2 linked regions of the Elephas maximus indicus genome follow. Each later gene encodes a partner of the first gene's protein in a complex. Links are inferred from orthologs where the notes say so. Each region holds a gene or a part of one and is shown in the gene's direction. Other genes may lie near its edges.

The links. Proteins that work in one complex are often made in the same cells at the same time.
Region 2: the proteins of EDAR (region 1) and EDA are in contact, whole or in part, in a crystal structure (PDB 7X9G), measured with the Homo sapiens proteins. The link is inferred for Elephas maximus indicus from reciprocal best matches to the Homo sapiens genes EDAR and EDA. Residues at the interface, in NP_071731.1 of Homo sapiens: Glu55, Pro56, Tyr57, Leu58, Lys78, Ile86, Arg88, Arg89, His90, Asp92, Glu94, Gly95, Phe97, Val134; in NP_001390.1 of Homo sapiens: Gln256, Ser258, Ala259, Gln261, Asp265, Asp273, Arg289, Tyr310, Tyr311, Lys340, Thr341, Tyr343, Ser370.

Annotation. Positions count from the first base shown.
Region 1 is NC_064835.1:76,755,769-76,763,555, forward strand, and holds the start of EDAR (tumor necrosis factor receptor superfamily member EDAR), read left to right. Parts: upstream 1-4,768; 5' UTR 4,769-5,083; intron 5,084-7,787. UniProt on the Homo sapiens protein: Receptor for EDA isoform A1, but not for EDA isoform A2. Mediates the activation of NF-kappa-B and JNK. May promote caspase-independent cell death.
Region 2 is NC_064846.1:100,697,150-100,704,338, reverse strand, and holds the start of EDA (ectodysplasin-A), read left to right. Parts: upstream 1-4,172; 5' UTR 4,173-4,476; coding exon 4,477-4,860; intron 4,861-7,189. UniProt on the Homo sapiens protein: Cytokine which is involved in epithelial-mesenchymal signaling during morphogenesis of ectodermal organs. Functions as a ligand activating the DEATH-domain containing receptors EDAR and EDA2R. May also play a role in cell adhesion.

The DNA of each region.
Region 1 (7,787 bases):
TAATGGAGGGAGGTGGGGGGTCACCACAGGAATGGGGGTGCAAAAGAGGGCTAGGGCACTGAGGGGAAGGTGCCCCTTTGCCCTTGACTCAGCTCCTGACCTGTAGCTTTTCCCGTCCACCTGGGTCTCTTTCTCCCTCCATGGAAGAGAGTTAAACGTGGTATTTTTTGTGACCAGAATCATTACCGACAGCTGAGAATTCCAAATCCAGGCAGCATTTTAATACACGGTGCTTCTGGTAGGAATCTTGGACAACCAGGTAGCTAAAACAAATTCTGGCGTTTATGTCTTTATCTAACAGCAGGGTTGGTGTGGCAAACCAATCAGTGCAGAATATCATTCTCCAATGGGGTAACATCAGTTGTAACCCCACCTGGCTTAGTCTGCCTTTGACCTGGAGTTGGCCCATTTCGTTTGATGCTGGCAGAGGACAGTTCACCCAAGTATGTCAAAGTTTCACGTATTATTTCATCACTCAGGTCTAGTTTAACCAAAAACAAACCAAACCCACTGCCATGGTCGATTCCGAGTCGTAGCAACTCTATAGGACAGAGTAGAACTGCCCCATAGAGTTTCCAAGGAGCACCTGGTGGATTTGAACTGCTGACCTCTTGGTTAGCAGCCGTAGCACTTAACCACTATGCCACCAGGCTTTCCTAGAAGACTAAAGGCCCAACCAATATAAATACTCCCAGGCTCAGTCTCTCCCCTTCCATATATTGGTGGTGATAGAGTTCTGTTCTACTTCTAAAGTAATTTTCTGTCATCTTTAAATTGTGATTTTGTTTTGTTTTGTTTTTTGGGTTTTTATACTTAGAGTAACATCCAAGCCTCTTTAGATGGCCCTCAGAACACTATGGTATCAGGTCTCCAGCCCCTCCCCAATCCTGTCTCAGACCACTCTCCAGCCCACCTCCCTACTTTCAAGCCCCATGGTTTCTTTCAGTTTCACCAACACTCCTGGCTCTTTTCTACCTCAGGGCCTTTGCATATCACTATGTTCTCCCTGAAACCCTCTTCTCCTCCTACCATGCAAGACTCACTCTTTCTTCTCAGGTCTCAGTTTAAAAGTCAATCTTTCCCTTCAGAGTAACCAGTCCTGACCCTTCTCAACCAACATAGCAGCCCCTCATGCACCATCTCAGTGGTTGTTTGTTTCCTTCATGCCACTAACTCAAGTCTGATATTTTAGGTATCTGTAAGCCAGGCCCCTCCTCATGATCCACACTCTTTTGATAGCATCAGGGACTTTAAATCATAAGTTATTATTTTCCTGTTGTTCCTGCCTATAGTATTGTGATAAGCGTGAGCTGGAGGGAGTTTGAGGTCATGCTTTAAAAACTAGCTCGCCCATGCTCTGAGGGGGCAGATCCTGTGCATTCGCCATTAGCTAGAGGTGAGATCAAATCGCACGTTTTTAGGGAAAGCACAGGAGCCGGGCCCAGACGGGCCTGAGGAGCCTGCTCTTCTCAGCCCACGAGGCTGAAGGAGCACCCACCAGCAGGGCCAGGGTTGTCCCGGAAAACAATTCCAGGTCTGCACTAGCCCCGAGACAGGTCTGCAGCTGCAAATTCCATACCAGACAGAGCTAAGATCGTTTGATCTGAAGAACTCAGTGGTTGTTAGAAAGCACCCGCCATAGGCGTAAAAACATTTCATCAAATACTCTTATGCCTTGAACAACATGATTTCCTGCAGAACTCTGAGATAAACTTCGTCTGTAGGTAACCAGAAGTTCACTTGCTGTGATGAGTTGTTAGGGTGAAGTCAGTTAAATGTCAGGGGTCAGCTGCCAGAAAGAGCATCCTCATTTTGGTGTATGTGATCTGATACCACTTTTCCTGATAGTAATCAGGTAGCAGGAAACTGTCATCAGCCGGCTGTAATAACCCCCACCTACATAACCCGTGTGTCCTACCAGAAAGTATATTTTAAGTTTACTTGATAATTTGATTATTCGCTACCTCCCCAGCTAGAGTATAAACTTTCTGAGACCAGAGGTCTTGGCTGTCCCTTTCATTATTGTATTCCAGCAACCCAAACAGTACCTGGTTCTTGTTAGTATTATTAGGTGCCGTCAAGTTGATTTCAACTCATAGCGATCCCATGTGACAGAGTAGAACTCCCCCGTAGAGTTTTCTTGGCTGTAATCTTTACAGAAGTTGATTGCCAGGTCTTTCTCCCATGGAGCCGCTGGGTGGGTTCAAACTGCCAACCTTTTGGTCAGCAGCCTAGCTCTTAGCCGTTTGTACCCTTCATAGAGGTACCCATACCCATTTACCCATTTCCTTAGAGGTACTGGGTATGAAGTTGCTGAATGAATGATGCATGAGTACATTAACATAAAAGACAGGCTAATTTGATGGATTGAGAGGTGTCATGGATTGAATTATGTCCCCCAAAAAATGTGTGTATCAACTTGGTTAGGCCATGATTCCCAGTATTCTGTGGTTGTCCTCAATTTTGGGATTGTAATTTTATGTTAAGAAGATTAGGGTGGGATTTTAACACCACCTTCGCTCAGATCACCTCCCTGATCCAATGTAAAGGGAGTTTCTCTGGGGTGGGGCTTGCATCACCTTTTATCTCTCAAGAGATAAAAGGAAAGGGAAGAAAGCAGAGAGTGAGGGACCTCATACCACCAAGAAAGCAGCACAAGGAGCAGAGCGCATCCTTTGAATCTGGGGTACCTGTGCCCGAGAAGCTCCTGACCAAAGAAAGGTTGAGGACAAGGACCTTTCTTCAGGGCCGACGAAGAGAAATAGCCTTCCCTTGGAGCTGACGTCCTGAATTTGGACTTGTAACCTACTAGACTGTGAGAGAGTAAATTTCCCTCTGTTAAAGCCATCCGCTTGTGGTATTTCTGTTACAGCAGCACTAGATGACTAAGACAAGAGGGTATCAAGGTTTTTCTTGCTGCTCACCCAACACGAAGTCAGCTGCTAAGACACAGAATATGGCTCAGTTTACTCCTTGGCAATTGTCTGATCTGCTGGGAGGTCATTCGCACCAGCCCATGCCTATTCTGTACTGAATCCCTAAAAGCCCTCGGAAAACTGTGGCTGAAAAGAGCTACAGATGGTGCCTTCCGCAGCGTGCCACGGCCCCTCTGCTCTATTCCTGGTCACGCATTTGTGCAATCTAGATGAAAGCGTAGGCCAGGGCACTGCAGAGTGAGTTACTGGGTGTGTGTGTCTACCATGTGTTCTAAATTACACCCGATTCTCCACAGCCCCCAAAGACCCCACTGGCCCGACAATGGTTTGTAGTCTTGATTCATGTTCTTATTTCAAAAATGCTATCGATAACCTTTTGCTATTTCTGCCTCAGCCTTTTACGAAATGTGCAAAACAGAAATTCACATATCTTCAAAGCTCTGGAGCCTTAAATTATGAAGATAAACAATAGTCTCACTTGCTTCATTCTTTCTCTTAATCTACTGGATTAATTTGTGTGCTCATTTTCATTCGGATATGATGACTATGAAAACCTCAAGTGTAGCCATCTGTAACCTTTCTTAATGGCATCATGTTTTAGATTTTTCAGAGAGAGAGAAAGGGGAAAATTCCTTTGGCTTATATGACACCATCCATATTCAAATCCTTTAACTGTCTTTTTCTTATCTTTTGGCAGCATCCCTGTTATCTCTGGCAAATTTAAAGTCACCATTTAATTTCCAATACAGAAAAAAAAAAAAGTTACCCTAAGATCATCTCCGTCCTCAAACATATTGATCAAAATGAAAATGTCAAAAAGTCAAAATTATATGCAATAGAAAAGATTAGCCCAGTACCCTTACTTCCTATTTGTTTCCTGGGTTCCTAATTTAATCGTTTTAATTTACCACAAACCCTCAGTTTGGGGTCAGCATGGGCAGTGTCAACAACCAAGTCTGAAAGTTCAACTTAACACTCTCACATGGGGAACCTACACTGTCCAGATTAATTGTTCACACTGGTCAAGGAAGTCAAGCAAATATGGTTCTACTCACCCTCTCTGGCGGCAGAATTAGTCTTCGAGGTCAGCATCCTCACCCTAGACCCACACAGTTTTGCCTCTTTTTCTGTCTTGAACTATTCACTTCTCATATGTGAATTATGTTGTATGTTATGTGCCAGAGCCAATGGAAAAGGGGGACATAGCAATGTGTCCTAGAGGAGCCATTCCATTCTTGTGTTTGTGGATGGAGTGGGGTCAGCTGGAAAAATGACATTCTTTTCAAGGTTGAGGGTCCCCCTCCCCAATCGTTTAGTTTTGGAGAAAAAATGGACTACTACTGAAATGCAATGCCCTTTCGAAATGTTTGTGTTTCAGACATCTTCCAGATTATCTAGAATTACATGAGGTACAGTGTTGGTGGGGTAAGGTGTCAGGGTAGAGGAGCAGAAGAGCAGTTAAAGCTTCCTGGTAACTCAAAGCCTAGATGTGCCAGGTGAAGGGGGTGCTGGGGAACCTGTGGCACACGTGTTTCAAAGTTGACTCCAGCAGCAGCACCCAAGCCTGTAGCCATCTCAGTGGTGGGTCCTTCGTGAACAAGTCTTGATTAATTATGTTTTTATGCTAATTATCTTTTTTAACACCCCATTGCCCAAAGGCTTTGGTTGTTCTAACAGAAGCAAGACTCTCTCTGTCCCGTTCCCCCGCCAGAAAAAAAAAAAATCAATGATTTTCACACATTCCAATTGGTCTCTTGAGGGGCAGGAAGTCAGGCACAGGCTGGAACGGGCTGAAGTGCCGAGGCTCTCGAATCTCCAGCGCCGGAAGAGGCCTCTAGGTGGTGCAGGTGAGTTTGCAGCGAGGGAAAGCCCCTCTGCAAGGACGAAGTCTCCTAGCTCGCAGACAGGACGCTCAGTAGTCAAGGAAAAGTTCCCGGAAAGCCCTTGGAGACAAAAAGAAGTGGGGCTGACAGCCGTGGAGGGGTGCCTGGCCCCCAGGGAGCTCTGCCAGCCTACAGGGACCTTGAGCATCTGCTGGGACGACCCACCTGGGAAACCTGGTGTCCCCCAGACTGGATCGTGGTAGGGTTTTCCTCACAGATCCATCTTCTGCTTGGGCTGGAAACTGAACCTCCACCGAGTACCAGGTAAGCCTTAGTCTTTTTCTTTTGGTTTTCTAAGCTCATGTGCTCTTTTGCATGGAGAGACAGAGGTGACATAGGCTAGGAAACAGCCTGAGTGCATTTTTGAAATGCATGTCATTTTTGGGTTGCGTTTGAACAAGCTTCACCAATTACCGTATGTCTGCGCCACCAGTTCTAAGATCCAAGATTGTGCCTTTGTTTTCAGGAAAACATCAGAAACTCAGTTTTGTTATCGGTTGCACATTTGGTTAGCAAGCTAAACTTTGGGTATGCTTAGCAGGCTTTAAGATTTTGGCTACTGTAACAACGGGTGTCTCCAGAGAGCATGGAAAATCTGTCTCTCAGGTTTGCACTGGGGTTCGGCTTGCCTGAGAAGGCAGGCAAGGGCTGGGGCTGCCTCTGGGTTCTGTACCTGCAACCAACCCACAAATAGCCACAGTGCCTTAAGAGCCCTTCTAGATGGGGTTTTGAATCAAGTCTGAGGCCCGATTTCATGGCCTCTGTGTGGCTGTGTGTGTGTGTGTGTGTGTGTGTGTGTGTGTGTGTGTGTGTGTGTATAACTTGGGTAACTATTTCTGATGATTAAGGATTTCCCTTCCATTCAAGAGGTTTCTCCCAGTGCCTCCAACAGGTCACAGAGTAGTTTGGGCTCCGTGCGAAAGAGCCGGCTGTAACTGCCCAACAGCCTGCGCGTTGCTCCAGCGTGCAGAGGTGTGAGATCTGGGAAAGGGTGAGGCTGGGCAGAAAGCACAGCAGGTGAACTGCTTACTGATAAGCCTCTATGTACCCTGGATTAACAACAAGAGGAACAGCTTAAAAAAATAAAGGGCCAGGAGTGAGGTGATAAACTCACAGAGCAGAAGACCTGGTCAGTCTGAGGATACAGACACAGTTGGTGGGACACAAGGATGTGAAATGAATGAAATGAAAAACGGAGAGAGAGGAAGAGAGCAAACACCAAGCCAGGCTCCCTCCTTCCCCAACTCTGCAGCTAGCCACTGCTCTGGGGTTCTGAAGTTGCCTTTTTAAGACTCTAAGAGTGAAACCATAGCTATTTCAAAATACTAAAGAAGTTAAAAAAAAAAAAAAAAAAGACGAAGGAGAAAAGGAATCAATTAAAATAACACTTTAAGAGAGAGAATAATTCTCGCCTGACTCAAGTGCCTGAGATTTCAAAGTCACAGGCACTCGGGGCCTTTCAATGTACATTTTGACAGAGTCCACCAAGAAGCTCACTCATCAGAGTTAGGAAATTATGGTTTGTCGTAATGACTGCCCATGTTTACCCTTCATTTCGGGAAGAGAAGATTGGGGGCATCTGAGGGTCCTGGTACAACCATTTGGGGTCTCAGATATGCCCGAAATTGGGCCTCTTTGCCCTCTCCCCATCCTTAAGTGAGCCAGGCTGCGCTGTGGGAATATTAATTTGTGACAGCACATTTGGGGGGCAATCTTGGAGGGACATGTCTTAGGGAGGAAAAAAATAAATAAAATTTCCCTGAAATGCCTGATTTTCACTCTCCAACCACTTCCTGGTTTATAAAAGTAAACAGGGTTTTCATTTTATCGAAGATAGATATTCGCAAAGCTTAGAAGTGTCAGGGACTCACCCTTCTCTTTTGAGCATCACTGTGTCCCCATATGGCAGTGTTTGCCGGAGGTGTGAAGACAGACCAGACCTCAACCCTATTTCACAGGGAGCGAAACCAAATTGACTCCTAGAGATTAACGCAACTGCCCGAGCCCTGTTGATTTTAAAAAATATCCTGTGGAGCTTCTTCTAGCCAAAACCCCTTGGTGTCTCAATGGAGACGCACAGATAGAAAGCCCGGCTCCCTGTCTCTTTTTTCAAGGCCCAGATGAGTGAGTTTTGTGGTTTCCAAAGAATGGAATTCATTCTCAAGGAAATGCACAGGATCTTAGCTTCAAAAAAGGAAAAAACGATTGACGTTGAGTTGATGCCGACTCACAGTGACCCTATAGGACAGAGTAGAACTGCAACATAGGGTTTCCAAGGAGCAGCTGGTGGATTCAAACTGCCAACCTTCCGGTTAGTGGCTTAGCTCTTAACCACTGCACCACCAGGTTCCTCAAAGACTCAAGCAGGTCTGAAGTTCAAACACAGTAGCTATAAACAGGATGGCTTTTTGGAAGCCAGCCTCGCTGTTTAAACCGTCAGGTGCCCTCTTGGTTGGCTTCCCCTCACTTTCCTCCTGGCCTGCTGAAGCTCCCTGTCTGTACACCTCTCAGCCGCCTGACTCCTGGCCTCTGTTTCCTCCAGTGTCCCAGGGGACACCTGCCTGCCCTCTCCCTTTGATGCTGTTTTAGGCTCTGCCTAAGTAATGCCGCCCACCAACAGCATCATTAATTAACTTACATTAAGCTCACTTAGCACATTACATCAATTAGGAAACAAAACACCAACCCCTGCCTTTTAAGAGTGCAGCCGCCTGCGACTTCAGCTGCCCATCAGTAAGGCAGGTTCTTGAACTTGCATATTACAGGCAAGACTTTTGTTTAATCCTTGCTTATTATTTTCCAAAAAAAATAAAATAAAATACAACCAGAAGAGATAAACTGATGTCCACTTACTTCACCTCTGCCCTGTGTTGCTTGACAAGGTGTTTCCATGTTTGTCTTCCCCAATAAGGAAATTGACGCTTAAAACCTGTTGCTGTCAAGTTGTTTCTGACTCATAGAGACCCTA
Region 2 (7,189 bases), on another chromosome or scaffold:
TTGTGTCACCAGGGCTCCTTCTACAGGGTAGGGAAGGACAAAGTATATCTATCTGATGGAAGTGGAAATTGAAAGGAGGAAGATAGATATATGGGTTAAGAGTTCAGGGGAAGGTGGTGGGAACATATAGGCCTTATCCCAAACTCTAAGGATGCAAAAAATGGGGCAGTTTTTGGCAAGGGCAAAGTAGGTAGATGCTTTTCTGTGTTTCTGCCATGTTCTTGAGTATTTGTATGTTTTTCCTCTCATCTCCTTTTGACGAAAGGCTCCTGGACAGCAGGGACTAACATTTACTATGCATTTATTATGTGCCAGACACTTTCACTTATAGCATCTCATTTAATCATAGCTAGATTAAAAAAAAATAATATTGTCATCTCCATTTTCCAGATGAGAAAACTGAGGCTCTCTGCAAGACAGGTAAAACTCACTTGTCCTAGGTCACACAGCTGGTAAGTGAATAAGCTAAGATTCAAACCAGGATCTAATCCAAAGTTTATATTCCTTCCAACTATCTGTTTAACATTAAGTGGATCAGAGAGTCAACTCTGTGATCTCTATGTCAATTATTTGTTCTGCAGATTAACCAGAGCTAAGAGGTACTGTATTTCAAAGCAGTTTCTGCCCAACTCCCTAACATATTCCACTCAATTGATGGGTATTCAGGGTCTTCAGTTTAGCTGACTTATTTTAATATTAAGCCCAAATTAGAAAGGAAAACTTGATGGGGCAGAAAGGCCAATGAGTTACTATAAACCAATTATATTTGAATTTCTGGATTACTTACTTTTCTGGATTATTCACAACCACTATGGTAGCATTAGTTTTATTTCTTTTGCATAGTGCTATACAGTTTGTATACAACAGGTGCTTCTTAAGTGATACTGACAGGTATCCTTTAGCCCAGTTCCCTTTTTGGAATTCTAGGTAGTCTAGGTTACCATAGCAGACTTCATGCCCTATTCATTTGATAAACAATACTGGTGCCTGCTACGTCATAGGTGCTCTGCTAGATACTAGTGATACCCAAATAAAAAGAACACCGTTCTTACCATCAAGGAACAGCTCAGGATTTAGTAGGGAGAGAGCCATGTGAAAAATTAAAAATACAATATAGTAGGTGATATCATTGAGCTATGCTCAAGGTACAATCTGTTTGGAGTGGGCTGTGGAGCCCAGAGGGAACATATGAGTTGATTCTTGAAGAATTTATAAGGTTTCCAAGGTGGTGATATTCCTGACAAAGAAAAAAGCTTGTGAAAAGGCACAACTGTGACAAAGCAGTCAACTAATTTAGTATCGTGGGAGCATGTGTTCCCTGTAGGATGGTGGAAGATGAGGTTGGAGAGGCAGTTTGAGACCAGATTATGAGTACCTTGTAGGTCACGCTAAGGAGTTGAGATCTTGTCTCCTGTATTACAGGGGTCAGACAAAATAAGTGAGTGACAAGGACAATATTAGAGAGAAGAGGAAGGAGATGGGGGTGGGGCGGGTGACTGTGGAATTTGATAGCCTGTGTTTGTATCAAGGGGTCAGTTCTAGCTGAATGCAGCCATAAGGGAATGTGGACACTCTGGGCTTATTTATTTGTTTCTTTAAACAGAAACAGGAAATCTGGATTTTTTTTTTAATGTGAAATGTCCTGATTTCTAATTTTTTTTAATTCAAACTTTTAGCCAACGCTGCATCAAACACAACACAACAATTTGCTGGATGTAGCCTGCGGGCTGTCATTTTAAGACCTGTGGTGTAGGTAATGGGGTACTTATGGAAGCATAGACACTAACTGTGGAAACACTTAAAAAAATGACCATGTACATTCCTCACTGGATTGCCCCAGACCAACAATTCTACTGCATATAAAAACATATGTTCTTCCTCTGGGGGCTGTTGAGTTGAGCAAAGTGAGGCACAAGGTCAAATACAACCCCCAGGGCTTCTGAGGAGGATGGTGCAACTCAGGGTCTCAGTTAAGCTGTTAAAAACCTGATAGAACATGGTAAACTGAGACCAGTATGGCCCCTGAGCATGACCACCACCACCAGAGATGGCTTCATTTGTCCCCTTTTCATTTTAGGGGAAACAGGGACAGCCTCTTTGAACTGTGTACGCAACCAAGTCAATATAGTCAGTTACAACACAAATAAAAGACAATGTTATAGCTGTTCAAAATCCTCATTTTACAATTGGAGAAACTAAGGCCCCCAAAAGCACAGTGACTTGCAAATTAGTGGCTATGCCAGATCTCCTGACTCCTAGTCTAGCATTATTTTGAATAATCCTGGGCTGTGATAATTAAGGTAAATCAGCCTGGCAATTTCCCCAGCAGCTGGAGTTCCTGGACTGGACAAGCAGGACTTGAGAGCAGCTGTTAAATGTTTTTTTGTTTTTTTTCCTGTCTGTATAATGAAACCCTGGTGGTGTAGTGGTTAAGAGCTATGGCTGCTAACCAAGAGGTTGGTAGTTTGAATCCACTAGCTGCTCCTTGGAAATCCTATGGGGCAGTTCTACTCCGTCCCATAGGGTTACTATGAGTTGGAATTGACTCTGCAGCAGTGGGTTTTTTTTTTTTTGGTGTAATGATGATATTCTTTGAAAACTTTATATTTCATGGGTTAAGGTTAATGAGAGGACACAAAGATGTTGTTGAAGCACGGAAACCATTCACAAAGTGTGTGGAAGAAAAGTTGGCTGTGGCTGAAATATTTAAGACCTATGGTCTCTGTGCTTTCTGGACTGACCTCCCACCAGATGATTTTGGTTTAGTTTTGTTGTTTTCCTTTTGTCTCTCTTCTATTTTACCGCTATTTTTCTCTCCCTCCCACCAGTCTAGGTTATAGGTCTTCCCATCCACACTCCTGGGCATTGTTGAGCCTCCTTGGTGGCATTCGTGATGGCTTTGTCATATCACTGAAACTGAGAATTACTTGCTTCTCAATTAATAACATGGGAATGGGATTGCAAGGTGACCAAGAAGCATGAATATTTCCTTTCTACGGTCATTAAAAAAAAAAAAACAAAACTTTCTTTTCCACCACGGTCATTTAGCTCTCTATAATCTCCAACTAACTGTTGTTAATTATGACTTTTGATTTAACTAATCCTTTACAATCTTCATATCAGGATCTATTGTTCTGACATCTGCCCACTTTTTTTGTTGTTGCCTTGAATCCTTTTCCGATTGGTGCAGCTGTTAAAGATGCTGCAGTTGCAGCAGAGTACATCTGGAACATTTGGCTGACTTGTTGAACTTCCCCTAGGGACTGCTCCAGGGGAAGGAGAGGAGGGGTGGAGGGGCCAGAACAGTTGCCTGCAAACAGAGATGCCAGTACTGTCTGGCCATTCTGTGGACCACCCTTGTAAAAATCAACCTCATTCTGGCTCTCAGTTTCCCAATTTGCTCATTGAAGTCACGTGTTCTCCACTGAAAACTCCTGCTGCAACTGAAGAAGAGAAACTATTCTGGTTGTGAATTCTCTTATATAGCACTTTTTACGAAGTAAAGGGATTTTATACATGTTTGCTGAATTAACATATAAGAAATCTTAGGGGACTGGTTTGACCTTCAGGGGGCAACATCACTTCAGTCCTGCCTGGCACAGGTCACCTTCTTCCTCACTTAGATTGAGCCCCCAGACTCAGTCCAGGAGGGAGGCTGCCTGAGTCACACCCCATTCCCACTCCCTTTGGCTCCCAGGCTCCCGACTCTTCTTTTCTTCTGGCACGCCAGTGGATTACAAACACAGCAGACATGGTTTCATTCCAAACCCAGAACTGTTTTAATTAGTTTAACCTCTGTTAAACGCTTTGAAGTTCGAAAGTAACAGATAAGTGCTGAATGATGTTATTAAAAACTAAAGTTAATTGCAAGCATTTCTGTTAATCCTCGTTTCTGCCTTCTTTTCTTTGCTCTCCTCTTTTTCCCCCAAGGTTCCCAAATTCTTCTCAGCCTTCCCCTCCTTCCTTCTCCCCCGTACTGGCGCTAAAGGGTTAAATAGGGGTGGAGTCCAGGGATGAACGACAGCGGCAGTAACCTACCCGTACCGGGAAAGCGGGAAGAGCTGGGTGGGGCTGCCAGACAGAGGCTAACCCACACGCCTCCAGGCCCCGCCCCGCGGTTTGAGGCGCCGGTGGAACGACAGGGGGCGGAGCACCCAGACTTGGCGGGACGGGTGGTTGGGCGTACCAGCAGCCCCTTGAGGGATGGGGCGGGGTCGGTCAGGGCCTCCTCCTTCACTCCTTCGGCGGGCAGAGCCGCCCCTCTCTCCCGCCCCTCCTCCTCTCTTTCCCACCCTTAGGAGTGGAGCTGCACATGCGGCTGCTCCTTGCTGTGTCCCGCCCAGCCACCGACGCACAGGAACGGGTCCCTGGAGCCCCCAGCCGATGGCAGGACAGTAGCCGCCTGTCAGGGGTCCTGAACGGTTGAGGCAGACGCGACGGCTCCTGGGCCTCAGAGAGTGTGTGTCTCCGGAGGCCATGGGCTACCCAGAGGTAGAGCGCAGGGAACTGCCGCGCCAGCGGGGAAGCCAGGGCTGCGGCTGTCGCGGGGCCCCTGCCCGGGCCGGCGAAGGGAACAGCAGCTGCCGGCTCTTCCTGGGTTTCTTTGGTTTTTCTCTGGCCCTCCACCTGCTGACGTTGTGCTGCTACCTAGAATTGCGCTCCGAGTTGCGGCGGGAACGGGGAACCGAGACCCGCCTTGGCGGCCCCAGCACCCCTGGCACCTCTGGCACTCTGACCAGCCCCAGTGGCCTCAACCCTGACGGTCCCATCATCCGCCACCTCGGGCAGTCGTCTCCTCAGCAGCAGCCGCTGGAACCCGGAGAAACCACACTCCCTCTCGACTCCCAGGACGGGCACCAGGTGAGTCACCTAGGAGGGGCGGCGGCAGCAGAGGCCCCCTTCCCTTGTGGATAGGGCGGGGGCCCTCCACCACAGGGCCCTGGGAGGACTCTGCCACCTCGAGCCAAGTTAGAGGGCAGGACCAGGAAGGGGGCAGGCCAATGAGGGGAGGGGTTGCCCCAGGGCAGGTTGTTCTAGGTCCCCGGCCCAGCTCACCCAGACTCTATGAATCCCTTGAATTGGCAACTCCGTCCGGTGCCTGCCTCTGCCGCCCCCGGCTACGGGCTACCTCAGGGAAAGTTGGCAACGCTCTGGCCCGGGCCGCGGAAAGGAGGTGCCCGCGCTGCCCCTCTGAAGGGTTAAGCGCGAGCAGCTTGGCCCCCTGGTCTTGGTGAGGTTCTCTGCCCACGGTGCTTGTTTTTTCGTGTCCAGGGCTGGTGGCAGCACTAGTAGACTCTCCTTTGGAGTTGGAGGTATAAACAGCTGTAATAAACGCTCCACGCCCGTTGAAACAACAGTTAACTGTATTTTCAGCGCGGGGTCATTGTGCGCTGACCAGTCGTGGGCTTGTTCACACTTACCTGCAACTTGAGACTGAAAGCCTGGTGGCGTAGTGGTTAAGTGCCACAGCTGCTAACTAGGAGGTCGGCAGTTCGAATCCACCAGGTGCTCCTTGCTGTTCTATTCTGCCCTATAGGGTCGCGATGAGTCTGAATCAACTCGACGGCAATGGGTTTTCTTTTTTTGGTTTGTCCTCAGTGCTCTAGTGAGGATTAGCGCCCCTGAGGAATCCTGGTAGAAACATGCGGTCTTGTTAAACTACTTTTGAAGAGCAATTTAAGAAAATCTATGGAAATAAAACTCACCCTTTGCATGCTATTTCTAGCTTTTTTTGGGGGGTGAAATGGGGGAGGTGGGTGTGAAGTGTCGTCACTATTTCTAGCTTGAGAACAGGAATTTATTGATGGGATAATTTCTCAGGAGTAGGGTCGCTGTGAGTCGGAATCAACTCCATGGCACACAACTACAGCCTCTCAAGAGCAGTTTATTTATATTCTATCTTTATGGTGTTTGTGCCCTGATTAGCAAACTTTGGTGTTTGTTTTTTTTTTTTTACTTTCTCTAGCTCTTTATTCAAGTAAACTTAGTATAATTAAAGTATTGTCTCAATGTCTATGTTTTGTCTTAATAGGGAAAGCATCCAAGGATCTTTTTGAGGTGGTTAAAGAATAGCGAATTTGTACCTCTTGAGGAAGAGGGCAAGTTGTGCAAATAAGTTCCTTGAGGTTGGGGAGGCAGGCCTTCTATATTTACTGCCACATTCAAAGTAATTGTCATAACTCTGTAAACATTATTTGTGCTAATTTGACCACCTAGCCAAAGTTGTACTCTATAGCCCATCCCATTGCCTTTGAACGACTCTATAGAGGCATCATATTTATAATACTGTAATGTTAAGACTGACACATTTTTTACATTGCACATTGAAAAGTTGCCCTGAGCCTTGAAATGTCTTGCTTGCACACTCCAACTTATATAACAGCTTATCAAAGAAGGGAATCAGCAAACATGCTTCTCATACTTGAAACTTTAAACAGTGTGACTAAATGATAATTAACTAGGATTTTGGCTCCTTTATCTACCCATCCCCCCTACCAATGCCCAGCAGAAATATTTAGCAGCTGAACAATGAAATTCTGTGGAAAGATGAGGGAATTCAGCTTCTTTAGTCAAATGTGGCCAAACATTTTTTGGCATTCAGAATGGAGAGACACATCTTTAAGGACTGAGGTTAACAGAACAGCTGTACTCTAGGGCTTTTGTAATGACATGGGACTATCACAGGTGTGTAATGGAGTTTCTTGCCTGCTTTTTGCATGGCATTTTAAATTGCTCTGTCAGGTTTAAACACTGATTCCTATCTTCTGTCCTTTATTCTTTCTGTTTTAATGTTTTTGAGCAGTAGAAGCAAGCACACTGGCTGTTTATATTTATTGACATCAACTGGAGTCGATGTTTTTTTAGAGTTACGTGGGGCCATATGAATCAATTTTATTTGATCCTCTAGGAGGACATGTTAGGCCCTGGGTGAGGAGTGACTTGGTCAAGGTCACCCAACCAGGGCGACAACTAGTATGGAAGTTGATCTCCTGACTTGCAGTTCAGTGTTCATCCCCCTATGGCATACTATCTCCTGGGGACTCTTTTCGAAGGGGGAGTGGAGGTACATAGTAGATTTTTTACAAAGTAGAGGGCTCAGATCTGCACCATTTTCTTCTACTCTACCTACGTTTTGACCAGACTAAATTTAACCATGTATTTCTTATTCTTCCTTCACTTTCAGGAAAAT